Rhinolophus ferrumequinum: one gene and its partner. The protein of the gene in region 1 purifies or fractionates together with the protein of each later gene. This does not show direct contact. Links are inferred from orthologs where the notes say so. Each region holds a gene or a part of one and is shown on either strand. Other genes may lie near its edges.

Region 1 (7,963 bases):
CTCTACTGAAGGGATTTAATTATTTTTCTCCTTTATTTTGTTATACGTTGAATTACTTTTGCTGATTTTCGTATGTCAAATCATTGAACTTGTATGTCAAAAGGAATCTACTATCCTTTTGAATTTATTTTGCTAACATGTTTTCTTTTAAATAAACTTTATATTTTAGAGCAGTTTTAGGTTCACAGAAAAATTGAGAAGAAGGTACAAAAATTTTCTACCTACTCCTGCCCCACACATTCATATCCTTGCCCATTATCAACATCCCTACCAGAGTGGTCCACTTGCTACAACTGATGGACCTTCATTGAAACATCATTATCATCCAGAGTCCATAGTTTACATTAGGTTTCACTCTTGGTGTTGTACATTCTATGTGTTTGGACAAATGTATAGCAACATGTATTCACCATTATCATATCATACAGAGTAGTTTTACTGCCCTTAAAATCTTCTGTGCTCTGCCTAGTCATCCCTCTCTCTTCATTAACCGCTGACGAACACTGAAGTTTTTACTGTCTCCATAGTTTTGACTTTTCCAGAATGTCATATAGTTGAAAACAGACTATATAATGTTTCAGATTGGCTTCTCTCATTTAGTAATATGCCTTTAAAGTTCCTCCATATCTTTTCATGCTTGATTGCTCAACTTTTCTTAGTGCTGAATAATATTCCATCGTCTGGATGAATCAGTTTATTTATGCATTCACTGACTAAAGGACATCTTGGTTGCTTCCAAGTTGTAGCAATTATGAATAAAACCGCTATAAACTTCTGTGTGGTTCTTGTATGTACACAAATTTTCAAATCCATTGGATAAATACCAAAGACTGTGATTGCTGGATCATATGTTAAGAGTATGTTTACTTTCATAAGAAACCACCAAAATGTCTTCTAAAGAGACTGGACCATTTTGTGTTTCCACCAGCAATGAATGAGTTTTTGGTGCTCTGCATGTTGGGCAGCATTTGGTGGGGTCAGTGTTGTGGCTTTTTAAGCCCCGTTGTTTTATTCAGTTAACATTCATATACCTACATATTTTCCCCTTTCACACCTCTTCATTCCTTTATGCCTCTCTGGGCTTACAGTGGGGAATCATTTTCCTTTTGCTTGAAGAATACCCTTTAGTATGGGTTGAGTCCTAAAAATTTCTCACATTTTTCTTCCCTTTTCTTTTTCTTCTCTCTCTTTTTCTCCCTGACCCCTGCCAAATGTCTTTGTTTTTCTTTCATTCTTGAGCCTATTATTTAGCACTGTGCTTTGCCCATAGTAGGGAAAACTTGAAGTGTCAAGGAGTTAACCCAAGAGCAATCCTGAACTACTGAGGGATGCTGCTGATGGATAAATAACTCCAGCTTGCCCTCCACTCAGTAGGGTAATTCTGAGGTGTGTCCCACACATTCCCTCAGATGGTCCCCAGTGGGATTGAATTCTAGTTGCCCACAGTGGTAGAACATTCATCAGTTCATCTTTTATTGGGTTTCATCCATTCTCTGTCTCATTTCTCCATTCCTATATAGTGCTTCCTGTAATCACTTCCCAAATAAACTATTTATAGTCAAATCCTTGTATTAAGTTCTGTTTTGGGGGAAATCAAATCTAAGACATGGCCTATTTCAGGGGTATGGTCCTTCAGGGCTCAGCACAAAGTAAGAGGGGTTCATTAGCACTCACCACAGCATTGGGATACCTTGGACATCAATTCCTGTTGTTTTAACCCTGAGTGCTTGTCAGAATTGTTCAGTCTCTTGGCTTCTCACTCTGTGTTTCTGGAATTGGCATTCATCCCAGAGGACAAAGTGGCTCCAAACACAAGACTCACTTTCTTGGGTCTTATTCATCCCTTGGATCCCAGTTTGGTAATTCATCATTATTTTGTTAACTCTCTGTGCCTTTAAGCAGATTTAAAGAAATATTTTGGCTAACTTTTCTAGTTGTCCTCCAAGTGAGAATTAGTCCAAATTATTAGAAAAAAGCCCCTCCCCCCTTCTAGGCTTGTGTTGCACTTTGTCTTCAAAGAGCTTCTTCTTGAACCTTGCTTATCTCCATTCCCTATTTGTATCTCCCCCTCCCCCATCCATGCAATGGGCTTGCACAACTCCATGCCTTTATTCTTGTTTTCCCCTGTTCAAACCGTGACCCACCAAAGTGTTGGGGCCCTGGGAGAGGAAAATTCTCCCTAACATTCCAGCCTGGGACAACAAAAAGGTCACTATGTCAAGATGGCTGTCAGTCAAAGATCAAGTGGGCAGTTTGAATGGGCTGCTAGGAGTGCGGAGAGGGGCCTTCAACTAGGAGAGAGAGTCTCAGTTCCAGGAAACTGGGAGTGGGTAAATCAAGTTGGAAGCCTGATGAAAAGATGAAGACAGATTTGGAAGAAAGACTCATGAAGCAAAATATGGGTATGGTGTGGAGTTTTTTCTGGGGCAAATGTAAAATGACTAGGTTTAAGTTGTATATTCTATTTGCCCAGAATATTCTTGAAAGCTCAGCTTAAATGACTTTTCTTAATTTTCTTGGCTGGAATCACTTCCTCCTTTAACTTCCATAGCACTCTTATTGCATTTATCATATCACATTTTTCCCATTGGCTTTGAATAGTCTGTTCCTTCTAAATTATTAACTAGATGGCAGCTGTGGTATAGTGGAAAGAGCAACACAATCAAAGTTAGATGACCTGGGTTTAAGTCTCAGCTTCAGCACTTACCTGAAATGTTTGAGCCTCAGTGTCTGCATCTATATAATGAAGATAATATTATTTACCCCATAGTGTGATTTGAGTATTAAAAGACAAATGTATAAAGTGGTATATAATGAGAGCCTGAAAAATAAAAGCTTCCATTTGCAGAGCCTAAGTGTTATGAAGAGCCCTAGGAGCTTGACATTCATTATCTTAGAGTTCTCCACAACCTTAGGTAGATCTATTATTTAGAATACAAATTAGAAAAAGACACTATGATAGGTTAAACAGTTTAATCAATGTCACATAGTAGCAGAAACAGGACACAAATCCAAGTCTGTCTGGGTCTAAAACTAGCAGTGTTCATTGGTTTACCCTGCTTTCCCATGGCCTCACATAGACTTCTAATAAGTAGTAGAGCTGAATCACTTTTTAGTCCAAACTCATCTGGGCCGATTTTGGAACAAGTGACCTACAAAAGTGTTCCATTATCTATCTCAAAGGGTACCTACTCTATCCTGATTTATAAATTTTCACATATTTTGTTCAAAAGAAGCTCCTAAGCAAAAGTGTGTATATTGTAATGTATTAACAGAAGAAAAGTGTTATTTAACATTAAGAACGGTTCACAGGACCTCTGATTTAATGAACATTCACACAGCCTGGAGAAGAGGCTTCATGTTTTCACTCTTTGCCTTGAAAGAGGTACCTGCTTTTTGAAGGCGACACAGAAGCCTTTGGGAAGAAAGCTATGAACTGGCTCCACAGTAAAAAGCAGCTAGATCCATTCAAGAATTTGCCGTTTTAATCCCACTGATCTTAAGTTGAAGAACGCCTTTGCAGAGTAGATAGATCATCTTTCATTTAAAAGTCGTAAAAAAAAAATGAATAATTTAAATCAGGAAATTTGTGGAAATTTCCACATTTTGTCTTTGTCTGGCTACGTGACGATGGTGGTGTTGGGGAAATTGGGGAGAACAGGGTGATAAAAGAAGTTGCTGCAAAGTCAGCTCTAAGATTAGGACCTTGTGGAGAGGTTCTTACATAACTACCTTCTCCAATAAAAGGGTGTTCATTTCTTGCCCCTTAACTGATTTCACACTTCCACTTTAAATACAACTGCGGAGGAAGGACCAGAAACAAAAAAAAACCCCAGGGTACGCAAAATAATTAGGGCTGCCCCAGGGAAATCAAACCGAGACAACGCAGGAGCCCCTCTTCCTTCCCACCTCCCCCGGGACACACTTTCAAGCTACTGGCGGACTCCCTACCAGCGCGGGCGGACGCGCCCCTCCGCCTCCTCCTTCCCTAACACGTGCTCTCCGGAACACTCACTGGGAGCTGTCCCTCGGGGGCCGAACGGACCAATACGCACGCGCCTTACAGCACCGTGGCCAGACAACGTTGAGCGGCCCAATCCAAAGGGCCTTACAGCCCGTTTCCCGGAGCCCCGCCCCCTCGCAGCCGTGCCCCCACCCGCCGGTCTCCTCCCTTCTCCTCCCTCCGTTCGCCCCTCCCCCGCCGCTCGGGAGCGCAGCCTGCGAGACGGAGAAACTGGGGCAGAAGTGAAGATGGCGGCGACGGTGCTGGTGGCGGCGGCGGCTTCTCGCCAGTGACGCGCGGTGCGGGCTCATCTCCCTCCCCACCTCCCTAGTCCGGACCCCGTCTGCCGCCGGGACCACACCGTCCCCTTAGTCCGCCCCACTCCTCCCTCCCCAGTCGCCCCTCTCCCAACGCCCCGCTGCCGCTGGCGGCGGCGCGCCCCAGGTCCCGGCCGCCGGCCTCGCAGACCTGTGCGCTGTCGCCAGGAGAGCGGGTGGCGTGTTGATCCGTCCTCCTCGCCCCGCAGACTGCCGGGCGGTGGACACACGCCCGGCAGGGGGGCAGCGGCGGCCCCTGCGCATTTGCTTCCCTCCATTTGGGGACTGGGAGGCGGCGGCGGCAGTGGGTTTTGGGGAGGGGAAGTGGGTTGGGGGGGCGGGCGAGAGCGGGAGGGGGCCGTCCTCGGGAGGAGGACGAGAAGGAAGCACCATGACGTCCATCCATTTCGTGGTTCACCCGCTGCCGGGCACCGAGGACCAGCTCAATGACAGGTAATAGGGCCGGCGGGCGGGGGGAGGGGCGCCTCCCCGCCCTCCCCTTCCCTCCCCCACGGGGCCGCGCCGGGGCGGGCGCCAGTGTTTACGCGCCTGCCGACGGTGGGGAGGTCCTCACTGCCCCAGACTAGGCCCTTTCCGGGGCAAACTTCTGGGCGCGGGGGCCCGGGGACGTGGGGGGAGCACGGTGTAGATGGGAAAGCGCGCTGCACCCCCCTTGCCCCGTAGGAGCCGCGTTGAACTGGGCGGAGATGGGGGGGGGAGATCGCTCCCGGGGGGGCGGGCTGTAATTACCGCCCGGGCCAGGCCAGAGGAATCCATATTAGCCAAAGTTGAATTGAGACAGACAATGCGGATGGGGGATGGTGGAGGTAAAAAGAGAGGGAAGAGGAGAAACGGGGCGAGGGGCCCCGGGGTAGGCTGCGCTCGCCGGGGCCCCTGGGAGTTGTGTCCGGTGGGGTGGTTTGGACCTGCCAAGCTTGAAGATCCGGGGCGGGGGGGGGGGGGGGAAGCAGGGAGGAGAAGCTGATTCCCGGCAGATCGCGGTGGGGGGTGGGGGAGGAAGCGCCATGATTATTGTTATTATTATTAAATATGAGCCCCTGCAGTGAGGTTTGCCTGCCCGGGGAGGGGATGAATTCAGGCGGGGGTGGGGAAGTGGGTTGGATTCCCTTTGCTCTCCTTCTCCCTAAACGCTGCTGGCAGCTCCAGCTCCCGGTCCCTCTGGTGCGAGCTTTTTTGTTTGTTTGTTTCCTTTTTTATTCTAATGATAGTGTTTTCGTGAGTTGTAATTTGACAGCTGAAAACCGTGCGTAGAGTCAAAGGAAAACTTACGTCTGCAGTTCGCAATGCTGCTTTTCTTAACATGCTGTAAATTTCTGGGATGGGTTTACAATGGGCGGAGGAGGAATGATTTTTCTTTTTTCTTTCTTTCTTTCTTTTTTTTTTTTTTTTGTCTTTCATAAGACGGCTGTTTTGGCCGTGGATTCCTCCCCTTCCTCTTCCACGGTTCCCTGCCAGTTTAGGATATTGAATTGCAGGGCCGCATGCTTTCAGGGAACTGAGATAAAGCAGGAAAAGTTCCTTCACTGTTGCAAAACAGACTCCGAGGAGGTTGAGGGAGGCCTCCATTAAAGCAACTCTTAGAATCTAGGACTCGGATCTAATGATGGGCTAAATGTTCTCAGGGTCAGAAAGTGGGGCATTTTAATACTCCTTCTACCCGATGCTTTCGCTGCTGTCTTTCCTTTGAGTATTATTAGAAGCCACCTGGACCCAAGTTTTGAAGTTAGATATAATTTTTGCTAAGTGACCGGGTGACAAGTTGCATGACGCCCTGTTTGTCATGCGCTTCCCAGAGGGAGGAAGAGGCCTAACTTGCTGCTATGATATTGGCCTTGGTCTCAAAGTATCCAACTGCCTCAGGTGGGGCCGACAGCTTTTTAATTTGAAAGCTGGCGATTTAGTTTCTGGCCCTGGGTTCGGATTTCTCTGATGTTTGCTGTAGCCATATTGTATTTAACATGTTTGTGAAACTTTTGGAATACTGTCTGAAAATATTAACCACTTGGACTTACCACATGTTCCTTTAAATATTGAAAGACATTTTAAGTCATCTATTTTAACATTTTATTAGGGATCCTTACTCTGATTTTATTTCATTAGTGCTAGAGATCTTTTTAAAGATTTTTAACATAAGATTTTTTGGGGGGTAAATTTTAGAATCAGGCTAGAGGTGGTGATAGTTCTGGTGTCATTCACAGAACCAAGTTGGTAGTGCCTGTATTGTAACTTATTTTGTAACTTAGAAAATTGCACCAGGGAGCAGAGAAATAGGGCATATTTTCTGTATTAGTCCTACTTTATATATACCAAGAATCCTGACAAGTTCATTCAATGACTGCATGCCAAAACCTATTCTGCAGTGGTGTTGGGTATTTTGATTCAATTTTGAATATTCCTTATGCTTTAGCTAATCTGAGAAATTTATAAATAATGTATCTTTTTTAAAGCTATGTTTTCTTTTTTCATTCTTAATATAAACATTCAGCTTTGTTTTTTTATTCCTATAGTGTCAGTATACAACATTAAGAATATTTAGATCATCTTTTCATTTTATGAAATAAAAGACAAGTGTATTTGATTCAGATCATAAAACGTGTGCATGGGGTAGGGGGGAACAGATATTTTGAAAAAATACAAAAGTGCTGTCAGTAAAATTTTAGGGACCTGTAGTTACATCTAGTAGCAGTAAAACTGGTCTGTTGAGATTTGTGAAGGCAACATTTGAGACAGTCCTGTATCGAGTTTTGAAGTGCAGTAGTTTGAAGGGCAGTAGTTTGACTTGTGGTGGAGCTGTTCTGTCTCCCCTTCAAAAGTAAAGCGTCATTGCATACCTAGTTGCAAAGTATAATAGGAACAACCCACTGGTGCATTGCTTGAGAAAAATCTGTTCCCAAAAGATACTGATTTTCTGGAATCTTTTAACTAACTAGAATAAGAAGCCCAGAGTATTTTCATCCTCAGATGAAAACTACCAAGATTTTGTAAGTTTTGGTAATAAAAAAGCGTGTGCTCCTATAGCTTGATTTTTATGAGAAATGTGCCTATGATAGTCACAAATGAAATAATTTTGCGTGAAAAAAGGTATAAATAGGTAGACTATTCTTTATACAAAAAGAAGTAAGATTGGACAGGCAGTGTGGTACTGCAAATAAATTGCTCGGTTAAAGAAAACTTAGGGGACTCAAAACATCAGTATTTTCTTCAAATATGTTTTCTTTCCTTAAATAGCCACATCCTGTTAAAAATCAAATATCTTGTTCAGTGTAATCTTGTGATGTCTCAAATATCTAAAATACACATAGCATTAAAGAAAAGGTTGTATCTGATTTTTTTCTTTGTGTTTTCACTTGGTAATTCTATGGTAGTTTTTACACATTTTTGTATGTTTAAGTCTTTAATTTTTGGCTCTGAGATACCAAATAATGAACGCAGTTGATGTATAGGTGGGGATGGCTAGGACAGAGAAGAGGAATTCAGAGAGCCTAGGATGTTGGTTGTGGTTTCCTGGAGTGATTACAAGTTCCCTGGTGCTGAGTGGCTGGTCCTCTGGCAATATTCATTGTGTTGAATTGAAACCATTCCATACTTTCTTTTGTGACATTTTGATTTTTTTCTAGTGAAT
Region 2 (6,626 bases), on another chromosome or scaffold:
CTGTGCATAATGGAGTAAAAACTTAAGTTGAAAATGTACCTGTTATAAGGATGGTATTAGTTCAAATATATATACATGGATTCTCGGCAGACTGATTCAAATAATTCAGAGCCGAATCTTTAAAATACAACTACGGAAAATAAAGGGGTGGGGGGAGAACCTTAAAATATCACAATAAATTTACAGAAATATTACAAACCATAAGAAAATATTTCAAACACAGTAATTTCATGTTGTATTTTTATCTGAACACAATGGAAAGTTGGGAAACAAAAGCTATTATAAATTACCAATGATGTCAACCTGCATGGCCATTTTTGCTTTTAAACAGTAAGTTAAAAAAAAAAATTTAGTACAATCTAAAACTTTTGCTCCTTTAAAGAAGACCACGGAGATGGTTTTGCCAGTACTTGTTCTAGTTTGTTTCCTTTTGTACAATTTTTAAACAATTAAAATGTCCAAAATCTTAATAATTTTCTTCTTTCCACGTTTGCAACTGTCCTAAATTTCAGCTGCAGAATCAAAATTCAGCAAGAAGCCTCTCCTTGAAAAATATTGGCAAATTCTCAGCTTATAAACAATGGACATTTTGATTGCCATGTTTATCTCGATAAATACTGTACAAAAGTTGCTTGCAAATATTAAAACATTTTTTCGTCGCTTGGAGACTAGCTCTAAATATTATTGGTAAAGACTTTTGCAAACTTTCTGCAAAGCTCCTACCGTATCACTAGAACTTTTAAAAAGTTTTGTGTAGTTTTCTTTCCTCCAGATCTATACAAGGTCCATTCCCTCGCCCTCCCTACCCCCACCCCCACCCCGTTTTCTCTGTACAAAAATAGTCCCCCCAAAAGAAGTCCAGGATCTCTCATAAAAGTTTTCTTGTCGGCATCGCAGCTTTGCGTGAGTGTAGATGGGATTGGTGTTCTTTTTTGCAGATGTCATTTGCTGTGGGTGACGACTTTTTTGTTTTGAGCGTACCGGGTTTTTCTCCTTGCTGTTTCTTACTCTCCTCCCATTTCCCTCGTTTTTCTTTGAAAATCCCCCCACCCCCCACCCCCAGTTCACTGTCCGGCCCTCACATGTGCGAGAGGGGCAGTGTGCCGTTAATGGCCGTGCCGGGCACCGGGCCGCTCTGGTAATGCTGGGACATGTGAAGTCTGCTGGGGGCGGCCGGCTCTGGCACCTCGGCGCCGGGGAGATACATGCTGATCATGTCCCGGAGGTCCCCGGCCTGGCAGGGCGCCCTGGAGTGGGAGGAAGAGGTAACCACAGGGGGGCTGGAGCTGGCCTCGGACTTGACCACCGAGCCCATGGAGCCTAGCGCCATGCCAGGGGTGCCCTGCTGCGAATAGGACATGCTGTAGGTGGGCGAGCCGTTCATGTAGGTCTGCGAGCTTGTCATGGAGTTATACTGCAGGGCGCTCACGTCGTAGCGGTGCATGGGCTGCATCTGCGCGGCGCCGTGCGCGTTGAGGCCCGGGTGCTGCGGGTAGCCCAGCTGGTCCTGCATCATGCTGTAGCTGCCGTTGCTCCAGCCGTTCATGTGCGCGTAGCTGTCCATGCGCTGGTTCACGCCCGCGCCGAGGCCGGCGCCCACCCCGACCCCGCTAGCCATGCTGTTGCCGCCCGGGGCCAGCAGCCCGCCAGGCAGCGTGTACTTATCCTTCTTCATGAGCGTCTTGGTTTTCCGCCGGGGCCGGTATTTATAATCCGGGTGCTCCTTCATGTGCAGCGCTCGCAGCCGCTTGGCCTCGTCAATGAACGGCCGCTTCTCCGTCTCCGACAAAAGTTTCCACTCCGCGCCCAGACGCTTGCTGATCTCCGAGTTGTGCATCTTGGGGTTCTCTTGGGCCATCTTACGCCGCTGCCCGCGGGACCACACCATGAAGGCGTTCATGGGCCGCTTGACGCGGTCCGGGCTGTTCTTCTGGTTACCGCCCGCCGCTGCCGCTGTGGAGTTGCCGCCGCCGCCGCCGCCGCCCCCCGAAGTTTGCTGCGGGCCCGGCGGCTTCAGCTCCGTCTCCATCATGTTGTACATGCGGGCGCTGTACGCGGGCCCGGCCCGCCGGCGACCGCCGACCCTCGGCCCGGCCGCGACTTTGGGGGCCCGCGGGCGGGGGGAGAGGAGGAGGGGAGGCGGGCGGGGGTGTCGCGAGCGCAGGGCTCCGCGAGGAAAATCAGACGAAGAATAATTTGGGGGAAGAAAAGAGAGAGAGAGAGAGGGAAACTGGAATCAGGATCAAAAAAAGCGCTTCCCTCCTCTTCTGGCCGATCCTGCCGCCGCCGATGATTGTTATTATTATTTTTTGGAAAGGCTTAAGCCTGGGGCTCAAACTTCTCTCGCTTTCTTTCTCTCTCCTCTTCTTTCTCTCAGTCCTAGTCTTAAAGAGGCAGCAAACTACTTTCCCCCTTTGCAAACACTCTCTTCTCTGCCTTGACAACTCCTGATACTTTTTTGAACAAGTTAATAGACAACCATCCATGTGACGGGGGCTGTCAGGGAATAAATGGGTTTCCAGCGACCAATCAGCGCGCGTCGGCTCCTCCACTCGAGCCCAGCCTCGCAGCCGGGTTTTGCATGAAAGGGGGCGGGGCCTGCTGGTCCGCGGGCCGCGCGGGGGAGGCAGGGGGAGGAGGGGGATGGAGGGAGGGGGAGGCGGCTCCCACTGCCAGCCACTGAGAAACCTTTGTATCCCCTCTCGCAGCAACAGGTCACACCACACGCCTTTTCGAAGGAAGTGGGTAAACAGCACTAAGACTGCGATTTTCTTCTTTCTTAAAACTTAATATTGATTTACTTTTTGGTGCGGGCTCTTGAAATGAGGAAGGGGCGCGAAAAGCCGCTAAGGTGTGGGGGTGGGGCAGGAGAGAGTGGGTGGTTCAGGGCGACTGTCCTACTGGTATTTCAGGAAACAGGCAGTGTTGGATGGAGTCGGTGTGTCATTGTTCTCCCGCTCCTCTGCACACTTCCCCCACCAACTCCAGCCTCTCTCGTGCTTTTCCCTCGCCTCTCTCTTCCCCTTGCTCCTCTTTCTCCACAGGTGCCGACACTCGCTCACGCACTTCTCGCACTGTCCCGACAAGAAGTTAGGAGACGGAACGCTCAATCCCCCAAACCTTTCTTGCTTTCACGCAATTTGTTCTGTTTTAAAAGTAAATCCTGCGCGGACTATGCGGCCGACTCTAGAGCGAGGCTAGGCAGGCCCTGGGTGAGCTGCCGCAACCTCGCTCTTCCCTCCAACTCAGCTCTGGCGCAGGAAACCACAGCTTGTTCCCTCACCCTCTCCCACCAGTCTTTCCCCATTCAGTCGGTGCAAAGGGGATGCACGTCCTCCCTCTCCATTCTCCTGCTGAGCCTCCCCCAAAGGATTTTAGTTGTGCCGGTTTCAGAAGGAGGCTGGGGGCAAGAAAAGAGCTCAACAGAAGGACGCTCAGAGTGCAGGCGGTGGGGGAGCGTTAAGCTCAACTTCTTGGCATCCCAGGGCACTGTGTGGAGGTGGCATTTGGGCCGCACTCACAAACTCCCTCCCACGCAGAGTTCACAGGACTCGAGCAGAACCAGCCCTGGCATTTCCCCCTAGTGACTTCTACCGTGATGGCCGCATTTCCCGGGCCGCCCGGGTCTGGAGTGTGCGCTCGGAGGGGGCTGTAGGCCTGGGAGGAGGGAAGGGTAGTGCTCGCCAGGCACAGGTGCAGGCATTGCCGGCAGGAAGATGGAGGCCAGGACTGGGGAAGAGGGGATCCCAGTAGGGCCAGGGCTGAAGGAGGATGGGATGGGGGCGGGGTAGGGACTCAGAAATCCTGCCTGCCCTGGACCCAAGAGGGTAATTTTAGCCGCTCTCCCATTGTCCGGACGTAAAGATTTCAATAGGTAGGCGCTCAATGCGGAGAGCAATGGCAGCACGTCCGTTACAAATAGGTAGTTTTGTTTCTCTTGTTGTCGCTACACGGAGTCAAACAAAGCCCCGTCTAAGTTTCCTTCCACTCTCTTGTTGGGATCTTTGTGGCTAAAATGCACTTGACTACAAAGGGGGGGAACCCTGATGCCATTTCTTTTTTTATAAAGGGCTTAAACCATCAGGGTTACTTATTTTCTTTCTTCTGTAACACTCTCCGCCCCCTTCTCCTCTGATCCACCCTTAGTCACCCTAAGAAAATGTACTGAATAGTATCTGTCGGCCATGTTCCATTTATTATCTTTACAAAACTTTGCATTGTTTTGTTCTTTACTAACCTTCTTCCCATAACCGTCATCACCCCCACTCCAACTTCTTCAATCCCTGCCCTCCCAAGTTTTTCTGTTCTTGTCAAACTCAAGATTAAGTATGCTCACTGGAAACCCAGAAAAGTTGTGAAAAAGAATCCTGTAGACTTTTCTTAATAATTTATTATTTCTAATCACGGCCCACCCCCCTTACACACACACACCCGCAGGTTCTCCTTTTTCTCTTAAGTTATGGTTTGTTTCAGTTCTTGGGAACCCAGGAAGGACGAGACTGGCCTTCTCAAAACGCATAAATGTAGTCACTCTTCAAAATAAAGCAATGTCTTTTTTTTAATTGAAAGTGTAATATTAAGCTAATCACGCACATGAAGATTAGGAAAGAGAAAAGGTTGAGTTGATCTGGAGAAAAGGCGGCCACGGCCTTTTCTGAGCGTCTTGGTTTCAGGGATGTGGCTGGTGCGCCCCCTACTGGTGAATTCGCTTTCCCAAGACTATGGATTTTACCTTTAAAAGAAGGTGTTTGGAAATAAAAAAATGGGGGGTGGGGTGGGAGGAAGATCAAACTAAATACACGTAATCTAAACAAAAGAGAAGTTAACATATCATATAAGCTATGGAACCGAATCATAAGACTCAGATTTAATTTGCTTAACTTAGAAATGTACATATATAACCTCGAGAGAAGTGGGAGGTTAAATCATGGGGAAAAAATAGGTACAAATTGTGAGATTCAACATATGAATGAATTATGATTGTCCAGATTCCACGAAGGGCAGACCAAGCATTCACTTTATGATTGTGTATGCATTGATCTGCGCTTAGTATAATAGCATTATTCCAAAAAAAAAAAAAGAAAAGAAAAAGCTTATGGATAATTAAGTTTGAAGAAAAAAACCCAAGGGGTTGGTATGGGTAATGGCGGTGTATATGTATTAAAATAAATGTTAATAGTGGATGGTTATACAGCAAATGTTTTTAACCTTTCTCTCTCCCTCTCTCTCAAGGGGTAGTAGTAAGAGGCACAAAATTTTCCTTAAGATGATATATAAAAGCTTTTATACATCGTCAGATGTCTGTGTTTGTGCCTGACTCTATAATAATTCATTTAAGAGGTTAAAGGGGCTGGCTAGGTCTTTTGTTAATTGCTTTTATCATATAAATAAGCTATGGAAATACATTACAATTGTGTTATCATTGGTTGCATTTATTTACAGCTTTATTTTAATTAAGCCTGCTGTACTTATCAAGGCAATAAACTAACTGGATGGCATTTATGCATAATAATGTGCTATGAAAATAAGATTAAAGAAGATGGTGATAGCAGAAACAATTTTCTCATTAGACTTTTTTTAGAACATATGCATTTAAAAAAATCAGATCACTGGCCACTCTATTTCAGTTCAGCACCATCACTGGCCCCTAAATATAATAATAACTATAACAATCACGATGTATGATAGAAGCAGTACTGTTTTAGATTTATAACAGACGGCTACAGTACTAATAACAATACACCATTGACTACTAAGGAATCAAAATAAGACTTGAAAGAGGGTGCTTCATCCTTCAAAAATTTTAAATGTTGCCATTGGTACAATTTATGAAAATTGAAGTGCTTAATATAAAGAGAGTGTAACATTTCCCTTCCATGGGCAGCAAAAAGCTGCATACTTTTAGAGCAAGATTAGAAATTAAGAACAAAAATGCATAATTCCTGAGATATTCGGATTTGATTTTGTTCTACTATAGGCCTCTGCCAAGAATCCTTAACTGATTAAGTGTAGTTCAATTTTACTTAAAAATCTTTTGCACTGATATGTCTCTCCTAAACTCCCCTCATCCCTCCTCAAGTATTATATCTGAAGCCAACTAACAATTTTGTGGATAGGGGACTGTAGACTTATTTTTTCTTCTTAGTGGCAAATAGAGGTTTAACTTGCAGTAATTAGGTGAGAACTAGCCAAGCATCGTACTATTATGATGCTTGTTAAAAAACGCTTCTTTTCTGCATCTGCATTTGAGTGTGTTCCCCTCCTCTCTTAATCTTCTTATGGAAATGAAGGCAAACGGCAGGGAACCTGCAGAGTCTTGGAGAATGTCCTTGTTAACTGGAATTTCTCAGCATTGCTAATTAGCAGAGTTTGACGACGACCACCAGTATTGGGGGGGAAAGCTCTGTTTAACCACTCACAAACCATTCTGAGGAAGAGCAGACTAATTTTATTTTGTAATTAAAATCTGAAAAGGGCCCTATTTGACAGTTAGGGCTATGAGAGTTTTATCTCCCCGTGAAATAATTACTGCCTTGATAACTCAATTTTCTGAAAAAATGTCAACTGTGGGCTCCAAAAGTTTTAATTTCATTATGTAAGGAAAAAAAGAGAGAAAAATAGAAGAA

What was found.
Region 2: the proteins of UBR5 (region 1) and SOX2 purify together in Homo sapiens (affinity purification with western blotting; 3 studies listed by BioGRID and IntAct, with this or other methods). This does not show direct contact. The link is inferred for Rhinolophus ferrumequinum from reciprocal best matches to the Homo sapiens genes UBR5 and SOX2.

Annotation. Positions count from the first base shown.
Region 1 is NC_046297.1:43,905,357-43,913,319, reverse strand, and holds the start of UBR5 (E3 ubiquitin-protein ligase UBR5), read left to right. Parts: upstream 1-4,650; 5' UTR 4,651-4,711; coding exon 4,712-4,773; intron 4,774-7,963. UniProt on the Homo sapiens protein: E3 ubiquitin-protein ligase involved in different protein quality control pathways in the cytoplasm and nucleus. Mainly acts as a ubiquitin chain elongator that extends pre-ubiquitinated substrates.
Region 2 is NC_046285.1:62,840,574-62,847,199, forward strand, and holds SOX2 (transcription factor SOX-2), read right to left. Parts: upstream 2,492-6,626; 5' UTR 2,042-2,491; coding exon 1,079-2,041; 3' UTR 970-1,078; downstream 1-969. UniProt on the Homo sapiens protein: Transcription factor that forms a trimeric complex with OCT4 on DNA and controls the expression of a number of genes involved in embryonic development such as YES1, FGF4, UTF1 and ZFP206. Binds to the proximal enhancer region of NANOG.